Linked DNA regions of Caenorhabditis elegans. The protein of the gene in region 1 purifies or fractionates together with the protein of each later gene. This does not show direct contact. Each region holds a gene or a part of one and is shown in the gene's direction. Other genes may lie near its edges.

The links.
Region 2: the proteins of zig-6 (region 1) and pole-3 fractionate together in Caenorhabditis elegans (co-fractionation; one large-scale study listed by BioGRID). This does not show direct contact.

What each region holds. Positions count from the first base shown.
Region 1 is NC_003284.9:5,185,289-5,191,815, reverse strand, and holds zig-6 (Zwei Ig domain protein zig-6), read left to right. Parts: upstream 1-2,738; 5' UTR 2,739-2,850; coding exon 2,851-2,911; intron 2,912-2,966; coding exon 2,967-3,117; intron 3,118-3,169; coding exon 3,170-3,318; intron 3,319-3,369; coding exon 3,370-3,510; intron 3,511-3,554; coding exon 3,555-3,643; intron 3,644-4,660; coding exon 4,661-4,801; 3' UTR 4,802-4,900; downstream 4,901-6,527. Other genes in the region: T03G11.9 (MARVEL domain-containing protein), read right to left, coding at 5,193-5,338, 6,211-6,301, 6,357-6,431. UniProt on the Caenorhabditis elegans protein: Probably not involved in maintaining the position of ASI and ASH head neuron cell bodies and ventral nerve cord axons of PVQ, PVP, RMEV, AVK and HSN neurons.
Region 2 is NC_003281.10:6,460,639-6,464,650, reverse strand, and holds pole-3 (DNA polymerase epsilon subunit 3), read left to right. Parts: upstream 1-1,794; 5' UTR 1,795-1,803; coding exon 1,804-2,070; intron 2,071-2,113; coding exon 2,114-2,243; intron 2,244-2,297; coding exon 2,298-2,314; 3' UTR 2,315-2,435; downstream 2,436-4,012. Other genes in the region: dlc-1 (Dynein light chain 1, cytoplasmic), read left to right, coding at 887-978, 1,259-1,436; algn-1 (Chitobiosyldiphosphodolichol beta-mannosyltransferase), read right to left, coding at 2,469-3,282, 3,330-3,482, 3,812-3,939, 3,987-4,012.

The sequences.
Region 1 (6,527 bases):
TCAACTTGGGCTCGATGAAAGTCTTGTGTAGTAAACATCGACGATGGCACGACATTTATTAATGAATGCGGACGGTCGTCAGTTGTTCTTTCGTGGACGTCCTTTAGCCGTCATGATGAATGTGTGTAAAAAACCTTTCAGCCAGTGTTAAGAACAAGAGTCGAGAAGAGGTAGCTTACGTGAAAAGCTCTAATGCAACGTCGGTGGCTAAAGATTGCTTTTTCCGTTACCACAAGAACAACTTCGTTGTAAACTTGTCAGATTTTCTGAACAGGGATCGCTGGGTTCAAGAACAGATACGAGTTGGAAAACATCATGAGAAACGTTCTGCATTTGCAAGATTGTTTTCTACACGACGGGACAACACTCGATAACCGTAAAATTTATTGCAGGTTCGGAGGAGTGTGACCTCCCGGAGCATTCTTTATAAGCCCACTCATTTCTACCAATCTACGAAGAGTTCATAAAAGCTTTATGGGAACTTGAAGAAATTGAAGAAGTGATGAATTGAAGAAAGAAAAAGTGACAAAATGCTTGAAGCATTATAGTTGTAACTTCAAAATTCTTATAAGAAACTGTAGCTTCCGTTTTTCTGATTGTATTTATCAAAACTTTAGTTGATACATAAACATATGTATAAATTGTAAGTGACTGAGATTTTCAACTGATGCCTACGTTTTTTTTAAATTAATTTAAGATTATAATTTTTAATTTAAGTCCGAAAGACCGTTATAATAATGTTTTAAAATTTGTTTCACCATTTCCAGTCATTTTTTAGTCTGTCATGATTGAAAATAATTGACATGCATTTCTAAAAATGATAATTGCAGAGAGGCTCTATCTCGGAAGTGTGAAAAATATTTAAAGGACCACAAAACTTCAAATATTTTTTTGTTTCCTCCAGAAAGTTCGACCTTTATATATTCTTATCAGCAAATATAAAAACATGTAATTTGAAAGTTTGCTCGTTTTTAAAATCAAATTTGAAAGGCTTTTTAAGAACCTGAAAAAATGTGAAAAATGACGTTATATGAAATGCATTATCGTGTGGAAAATTATATACTAATATGCATTTGTATAGGGTTTCTGAAAGTAAAAAAAGTTAATTGTTACTGATTACGTTGAAATAAAAATTTTGAAGATCCAATGACTAAAAAAAAGTTTAAAAGGATGATCGTTTTTAAGCATTAAGCTCTGCGGATTTGGGAGTTAACTTCCTAATGGTGCTCCCAGTGGGCTTCTTGGGCAAAATCAAAAATAAATACGCTATCAGGCCAATTGGGCATTAGACTTGTGCAGCTCAGTGCTGTTTTGTGCCAATCAGTGTCGCTTTTTGGGCGCACTGGCCCGCGCTAGAATGGTAGATTAAACTGTCCACAATCTCTCCAATTAAAATAATTTTTACAGCACTTGTTCACGACATAGTGTACGATAAGTTTTAAAGTTGATTTTTTCAGCTTATTTTTTCTTGTGATAACATTTTAATTAGTGAGTATTAAAAAACTTTCAAATAGCTTTCAATTTGAACAAATTCCAGACTGGTAGTAAGAAATCTGCTAGAAACTTTACTTTTTGGCTCCATTCTTGTAAAAATTCAACTCAACTTAAATTTGAAAATGTAATACAAAACATTTTTTTTGATGTCTTAAAACTGGGAGAAAAATTGTCAAAAAGAAGACTTCAATAACCGATTTAAACTGAACAATTTGGAATTGAACAAAATCTTTTTAGTATCAACCAGTAAAAAGTTACTACTCCATGATGCTTGCGCACTAGAATTTTTCAGTGTTCAACATTGCACGCTTGTTTCGCCTTTAGCATTCAGCTGATGGATCAAAATTTCAATAACTGCAAATTAAACTATTTTTTACAATTTTATGTTACCTAGCTACTTGAAAAAAACTTTTGATCGCAACCGAGATATTTTTTTGAAGAGAAAATACGAAAAATCTAATTGGGAATAACGAAAAGAGCTCAAATTATTTTTGTACCAAAAGTTTTTCAATTTTTTTGAAATTACATGTGATTGTTTTTGTATTTGAATTTTGTTAGGCTTAAAAAAATAATTTCTAAATCTTAGTTAAAATAGTATTGACATAATGGTTCACGTGCTGATCTGAATGAGAATTAATCCTACATATATAATGCAATAATAATGTATATGTTAAAAAATTAATAAGAACATCACACTGTCACTGTTTCTTAAATTATTGTTCAACATATTTATATTTTATTAGTTTGTTTAATCGGCAGGCGTATTTAAAGTTGAATAATCGAAAATAAATTATGAAATAACTATTTTTCGCAATATTAAAAACTATTGAGAAATATTAACTTTTTCGCACTTCTTGCCTTCGGTATTAAAATTTTATATATTGTTGTAAATATTCTGAAATGTATTTCATTTACAGTTGTCAATCATATCAAGTTGTATTGGAATAAGTACCTTGCAATAACTGCAAATTTAAAAGTTTCTCACATTTAATTCATGATGTTTGATGATTTATTTTCAATAAAATTGTCCTTTTTCCAGACTATCATGAAGTGCACAAATCACTGAGCTTTCTCATTAAAAACATCAGAACAATTATCCAGAGTTAATAGTCTCCCTCAATCACCTACATCACGTTTTTCAAAAGACTCCAGCCTGTTTAATAGCCTTCGGCGTTCTTTTAATCTGAAAAAATAGCGAGCGAGATGAGGAGGGCAGTGGTGGTAACCCAAGCCTCGAGTATTTTACAAGAATGAATCTTACTGACACCTGACGAAGCCTTCACAACAGTCTCTAGTAGCGGTGGCTACTATCATTTGGACTAGGTTGTCTCCTTGAAATTCTTCCTTGAAAACAGGATGACTAAATTATGTCTTTTACTTTTACCACTAGTTTTCCTAGTCTCTTATTCGTTTGCAGGTTTGTTGAAAAGAAATTTAAAAAGTGTTATTATTCATAAGAATGAACATTTCAGAAGAAGAAATAACCATTTCCATTAGCCCAAATGCAAACCCAGTTCAAAAACCAATTGGTCACCAGATTTCTCTTGTGTGCTCTATTAAGAAGACTGATAGTAATGGAGAAAAACCAGGAATGATCTGGAAGAAACATGGTGGACTAGACCGGTATTTCAAGATCCCTATTTTCCTATTAAATATAACCCAGCTAATGTTTTAGAACTGGAAACGTCGAGGTCAAAAAACTAGACGACTACACTCTCGGACTTATTATCAGAAATTCCAGTGTGGAGGACAGTGGTGTGTACTATTGTCAAGCTCAGGTTGGAAGTAAAGTATACATGAACAAGATGGATGTAATCGTTTTTGGTAGGTCTCAATGTTTGTCGAGATTTTGAAAAAATAATACACTTTTTGCAGAGGACATTGTCTTCCGAGACAAACAACTTCACTTTGGTCAAGTTCTAGCGACTGCTTCGGTTAATATTTCATGTGAGGTATCCGCCAAGAAAGACAGTGTCATAACTTACTGGACTCGTCACGGGAAGCAAATCCTGGAAGGTTTGTCTTGAGGAAATTTGTTAGTTGAAACAAGGTGTTTTCAGGTGGTAAGCACAAGTTCTACAGTAGAGGGTCTATTCTGGAAATTCAAAATTATCAACCAGAACAAGACGCAGGACAGTATACATGCGAGGTAAACGAAAAATATAGGATAAAAACTTGTAAATTATCTTAGAATGGGCTTAGATCTAGGAATGACAGCCACTGAGCAAAAAGATATAAAATTACCGTAGTCTAAGTCATCAAAAAGTGAGACAATGGCGGCAGCCATCAAGGGTAAAATTTATGAGTTGCGTCGACAAAAGGTGCTATTTAATTTTATGGTAATTGTAGGGAAATGTTCTTTTGTGTGTAGAGCTGGTAACCGACAGATAAATACAGATAAACCTTATCAGTAAACTGTGAAACTTTTATCAAAAGAGAAGTGATAGTTTTTTTTTGAGAAAAAAGGAAGGGATTTTTGACAAAATATCTCGGTATTTGGCGCTTAATTTCGGCAAAATAAATCTAGCCATAAAGTTGGCGAAGTTTGGTTTTTTTCTTGAATGCTACTTAACCAAGTTCAATATATTTGGGCAAAATTTTTGAAAATAATTTTTTCTATGAATATAAAGGGAATTGAAAGAAGCCTATTGAGGTGCTTCGAGTTTTTCAAAAAATTTATTAAAAAATTACGGTTATTTATGATCTTTGATAACTACCCAGTATAAAAGCAGCGTATACGTTGTAAAACATTAATATTAACAATGTCTTTGTTCGAAACTTGTCACAGAAACTGGCTAAGTATTGCAATTATTATTAAAATATTGTACATATTTTGTTTGTCACATAAATATTTTTATACAAAACAATTCTAATGTGATTTCAAAACACAATGGGATAACATTTTACCAAACGTAAGAGATAAACATTTTAATATGATAACATTTACTTTTTTGAACACTCTAGTTTGTTGAATATTTTTGATTTATTTTTTTTTGAGGTAAAGAACTTTTCAAAATTCTAATTGCAAAATTTAAAAGTAATTAAAAATTTAAAAAAAAAGAAAAAATTTTGTTAATTTTTTTAAGTTTTCTATTCCGTCATTATAGCTTATTTTATGTTATTTAACATTTTGAAAAGTTAAAAAAAAACTGTTTCTTTATTATAGGTGTTCCATGTAAGCAGCGGCTCATCAAACACAAAAACTGTGACTCTTGGAACCACAGGAGAGAAAAACTACGTGGCATGCCAGCAGATGTGTAACAGTTTTTGCACTGATGTTCACAACAAAGTATTTACCAACAACTAAATTTTGAAGTGTATTGATTTTTTTCTCATTTTATCATTTCAAACATTTGAGTCACTGGAATAACTTTGATTCTTTTCAATAAATTATTATAGCTAAAAACATTTTTCTGATCGTGTTCAACGCAACAATATGAAAAAAAAACACGCTAATAGAAAGAAATATTGAACAAATACGGCATTTCTCATGAATGTTTTTGTTTCCAGTAACAAAAGTTCCCTACAAGCTCACGAGTGCTTGGTTGAACGCAATTTTTTTCCCAGGACTGTATGCATAATATATATTCTCGTACGAATATTTTATGCTACAACAAACATAAAAGTTGGAAAAAAAATAATAAAATATTTCATTGGTCCAAAAAACAAGACGAGTATCATCATGACGAGGTTGGTGTTCACTCCCACATACATCTTTCACCACTGTCCGGATAGATACCTTCGGCTTTTTGCCGAAGGTAGTGATAGCATTTGGTGGCAGCCCATATGGCGCCTATACAAATTACGATTCCCAAATATATTGATATCACCATTAACATTTGATCTGAAATGTAAATGAGATTGCGGGAATATGTGGCAAAGAGATTCAGTTGGATACGATGTTATACATACAACTCCGAACAATTCTTTTATTATTTTTTTTTCAATTTTGCAAAAATTCAGATGAATGATGCAGTACTCCATTTTCCAACAAAATTAAATGGCCTTTCACAGTTTGAAAAAATGTAATTTAGGATAATACAAAAACTAATCACCGAGAAAAAACCAGTTCAATTCGCAACAAAAAAAAAACGGAAAAACTCAAAGTAGCGTAGGCTAATAAGCCATTTCATATGTTTTGCTGAAACAATTTGAATAAAACTCATAAAAATTGCACAAATGTTAATAACTATAAAACTGTACAACAATTAAAAAAATTATTTTAATTTTGAATCGTTTTATTTAAGACGTTACAGTAGATAAATCAGTTAAGCTTGTAAAAAGCTGGAAACAATAACTCTGCTAACTTGAGAAAATCGAATCAATTGAAAAAATTTTTAAAGTGACCATTACCACCCGTTTTATGCTATTTAAAGCAAATTTCTATGAACGACCTTTCAAATTTCAAAAATCACGAAAAAAAACCGGAGAAGAAAAGAAACTCGATGCAAAATCAATAACTGGGAGGAACCTGATTTTTATTTTCCGGTTTCAACGGGTTCATTTTGGTTTTTTTTAACATCTATTTTATGCTGATTTTTCATTGTTTTGACTGTTATTATTAAATAAGCTGTCGTTAAATTCCAATTCAATACTTCATCTTGTCATTCGAAATTATTTAGAAACATGGGCTATGAATTTCATTTTTAAATAACAATCCGACTTTTCAGTTAATCCTCATTCCCAATATTTCCAAAAAAAATTCTGAAATCATACCAAATTTTTGATAAAATTTCTGCCTTCGAAACACAATTGTATAGTAGAGAACATAATTGGCAAGAATGAAGAAACAGACGCATTGCGTTATCTTAAAAACAGCAATTAGTCTTCAGAAATGTCAAGAAATCGCAGAGAAAACTCACTTCAGAAACTATAAATGGTACAAGTAATGAAGCCTTGTCATAATAAAGACCAAACATCATGAGAATGGCCACAACCTGCAAAAATCGAATATTGAAAACAATTTGTTGTTTGAAAAGAGAAAATACATACTGGTGAACTTATATTTATTGCACTCAAAAAAATTGCAATTT
Region 2 (4,012 bases), on another chromosome or scaffold:
TATTCACCCTCTTCCTTTTTCCGGTCTATTGTATTCAGGAGTTAGAGTCTATAAACACATTCATGCTCGTCTCACACAACAACCTCGCAGTTTCTTCCAACGCCCTTCACTTTTTCTTTTTTTTCTCCTTCTTCTCGCTCCCACCAACACCCCAAAACATTTTGAAATACGCGGGCACGCGCCTGTTTGCATTTGAGTGCGCGCGCATTGCCCCGACGACAGCCGAGTCGCACACTCCAACACAGCCGGGTCGCGTGCGACGCGGCTGTGCAGCGTGCGACGCGCCCCGCCTATCTCGCTCTCGGCTTCGCTCAGCCATCTTCTCTTTCGTCTCCCAATGCCACCCATTCCTCCACTCTTTGAAACTGTTATCTTTTGGCTCACTTCATTCTCCTCCACTTTCGATATCTTTTCTCTGTTGTCTTACGAATGCTGCTGCTGATAAATGCGTACAATCTGATGTGTACTCTTATCGAAAAAGTAGCCTGTTTGTTGACATGAAATATCTTTTGAAAAAAGTTCCCGATGACACATAACTGGGGAACTCTTCTTCTTTCATCTATTTCATTATTTCTAAACTGTTCAGATTTAAACAATTCACGTCAAAAGTTTTTCATGTTGCGGGCGCAAATACTCTGTACTCAAGTGCCTCCGAGCTTTGCAAATTATATTTTTAATACTCTGAAGAGCCTTATTCGTACTAACATACTCCTGTTTCGTGTCATAAATTGGGTCGCTCAAATAATTACCTTGCCGTTCTTCCATTATCCTTATCTATCTCTTTGACCTCCGCATTCCGCATTCACAACCGTTATTATAACTACTACCGAGTACCCGGTGTTCAATTAATTTAATTTTGTATTTTTTGCAGCCAAATCCGTTCAAAATGGTTGACCGCAAGGCTGTGATCAAGAATGCCGACATGTCCGATGACATGCAACAGGACGCCATCGACTGCGCCACCCAGGCCCTCGAGAAGTGAGTTATGAGCTTTCTCATTGCATTTTAAACGCTTGAATAATTCGATTGCCATGAACAACACTTGGTCGCTTAGTAGAGAAAAAGTGTAAAGAAATGTCGTTTAGCTGTTTGGAACGGCTCATCGGTCCCTTGATTTAAACTAAAGTGGACGGCAGCCCGAGTCTAGGGGAGGGGGCGAGCAGGAGCGACCAGCTGATCGAACAAATCTGATCCTTGTGCAAGAAAAAAGCGAAGCGATGAAAGTCTAAAAAATAAAATCAAAACATTTTTTTTTCAGATACAACATCGAGAAGGATATTGCCGCTTACATCAAGAAGGAGTTCGACAAGAAATACAACCCAACCTGGCATTGCATCGTCGGAAGAAACTTTGGAAGCTACGTGACCCACGAGACTAAGCACTTTATCTACTTCTACCTTGGACAGGTCGCCATCCTGCTATTCAAGTCTGGATAAATCCCATCCTGTTCTTAAAAAACATTCAATGATCTTTAAATTGTGACCTGATCCTACGTGTACCTTAGGTGGCGTAGGATCTTCAGTGTGCACTCTTGTTAAATCTTCCTTTTCCTCCCAAAAAACATTTTCCTTCGTCGCATTCTATTTATTTAGCTCAAACTGTTCATTTTCTTTGAATCTTCCTCCATCACCCATAAATCTTCTTACGTTGTCCGTTTTTGAGAGAAAAGAGAACTCATAATATTTTTGTTCTCGAAAAGTGCTCGCACTAAAAGTAAAAATAAAAGGATAGCTTTAAATCCCTTAATTATCTGTGCTTCATTTTTATACTCGAAACTGAACAAGGCAATAATTTAAGATAGAAATGTCATCAAACGATGTGGATCAAAACGATGATCGAATTGCTCAAATGATGATGCCAGCAGCAATTGTGACTCGGCTCATGAAAGAAGACAATATTTCTGCATCAAAAGATGCTCGAGACGTCATCGCTCGTGCTGCAGCAGTGTTTCTCATAAACTTGTCCGACGTTTCGGCTCAATCTGCTCGCGATCAGAAGCACAAGACGATCTCAGGAGATGATGTTGTCAAAGGACTCCGAGAGCTTGAGAATACTTCTATTCACAATCATGTAATTATGGGTTTCGAAAGAGTTAAGAAATTAAAATTTCCAGTGCAAGTCCGCCAACGATAAATGGAAAGTTATTAGTCAGCAGAAGGCTCTCGCTCGTAAAAATCCAGTTGAATCCAGCTCTGTCAATGCTGAAATGGATGACGACATTATTGACGATACTCCTGTCGATGGTTAGTTCTATTCTTTAAATCTGAAGTTTATCTGAATAATTTATAATATTGCAGATTCATTGATGAACTGATCACTCATAACCAACTCATTCCTGCTCAAAACGATCCTTCCTGTAAAATCTCATTCCGATTCTCAACGCGTGTCCCACTTTTGTCTCTAACATTTCACTTTGATAAACAATTTTGGCCAATAGTTTATTGAATGTACAAAACCCCGAAAAAAAATTAAAGCGATCTGAATGCCCCCGAAAAAGTGCCCATAAATAAGTGAATCGGCATGATCAATAAAATAGCGAAAAATGAGAATTGAATAATTGCACGAAGTTTGGCGAATCCATTGTCTGGAACTCGAAAGTCTGCACCAGAGGTAGCTGATCTCTTCCACATCACTTCCCAAGAATCGAATTTTTGCTCCTGTGTATTCTTCTTGAGCCGTATCAATTCATTGCAATTATTTGGGAATCCACGAGAAAGTTCAATAATTTGACGACTCAACTGCTCAGAATCATCGAAAAGATATCCATTAGTTTTCTCCTCAACGAGCTCATCAATACATTTGAATTTTAGAGCCAATGCTGGAACTTTAGCTCCAAACATATCAACAACTTTCATCGGAAGATCCAATCCAGACGTGCTTGTGTGCAAAGAGATTCCTAAGTCAGCAGAGGCTAGAATCTTTGGATAATCTTCTGCTTCCAACCATGGAGTCAATACATCGACATTCTTCAGATTTTTCTCGTGAATTTCTTGTAAATATTTCGCTTTCAGTGGACCTTTTCCAGTGATAATCATCAAAACTCGCGGGAGTCCGATTGTTTTGTCATATGCAACCAGCGCATCGAGAAGAATTTCAAACCGTTCATCAGGTGTCCAGGATGTGGAAGAGAGAAACACAATGGGTCGAGTTGTTAGTAGCTGCACTACTCCGTTCGAAGATTTATGAGTCAGAATTGTGGAGTCTTCGTCTTTTCCTTGTAGAATTCGTTCCTTTTGTGAAAGTCTTAGATACAAATCATGGATCTCTTGTATTGTTGTGTCTCTGAAAATTTCGAGATTAATTTTCAGAAATTTCACATTTGTTCAAACCTAAATTTCCACGTCGGCGGCCTATCATAGAATGTGCTGGCTCTGATGCCCCATCGATCCATGAGATCTCGACGCATGGCATTTGTTACACACAGATTATAATCGGATAGTTTTCCACATAGACCTTCTAGGAATCCAACACATCTCACAATTCTGAAAATGTAAATTGTTCAATACGAGTTTGATTTATTGTACAGACGCGAATGTTTTGGCTAAAATACGTTGCCCGGTCTCGGCACGACAAGTTTTCGTTAAATATGAAAGGTTATGCGCCTTTGAAGAGTACTATAGTTTCAAATTCGTTGCTGCAACAGTTTGATGTGATTTTTCCAGTTTTCGTAAAAAATATTTTTCATGGGATAAATTACAGTACTCTTTAAAGGCGTATGTCATTCTTCGTTTCACAAAGATTTGTCGTGTGGAGACCGAGTACCGACTGTTTTTTTTCGCGTCGGGGAACAATGCCGGTGTCCAATACTCACTGGGCTTTTTTGGTTTTTTTATCGTTTCCAAAAACTTGATCATCGGTCAATTGGTATTTATTTTGTAGAATTGAATACATGTAATTGTGCCAATCAATTGAGAATTTTGCGAATTTGAATATGGAAAACTGAAATTAAAGTTGATATTTTATAACGGTAGTCAGTAGAATCCTACCATGAAACAAACTATCATCGTCGGAA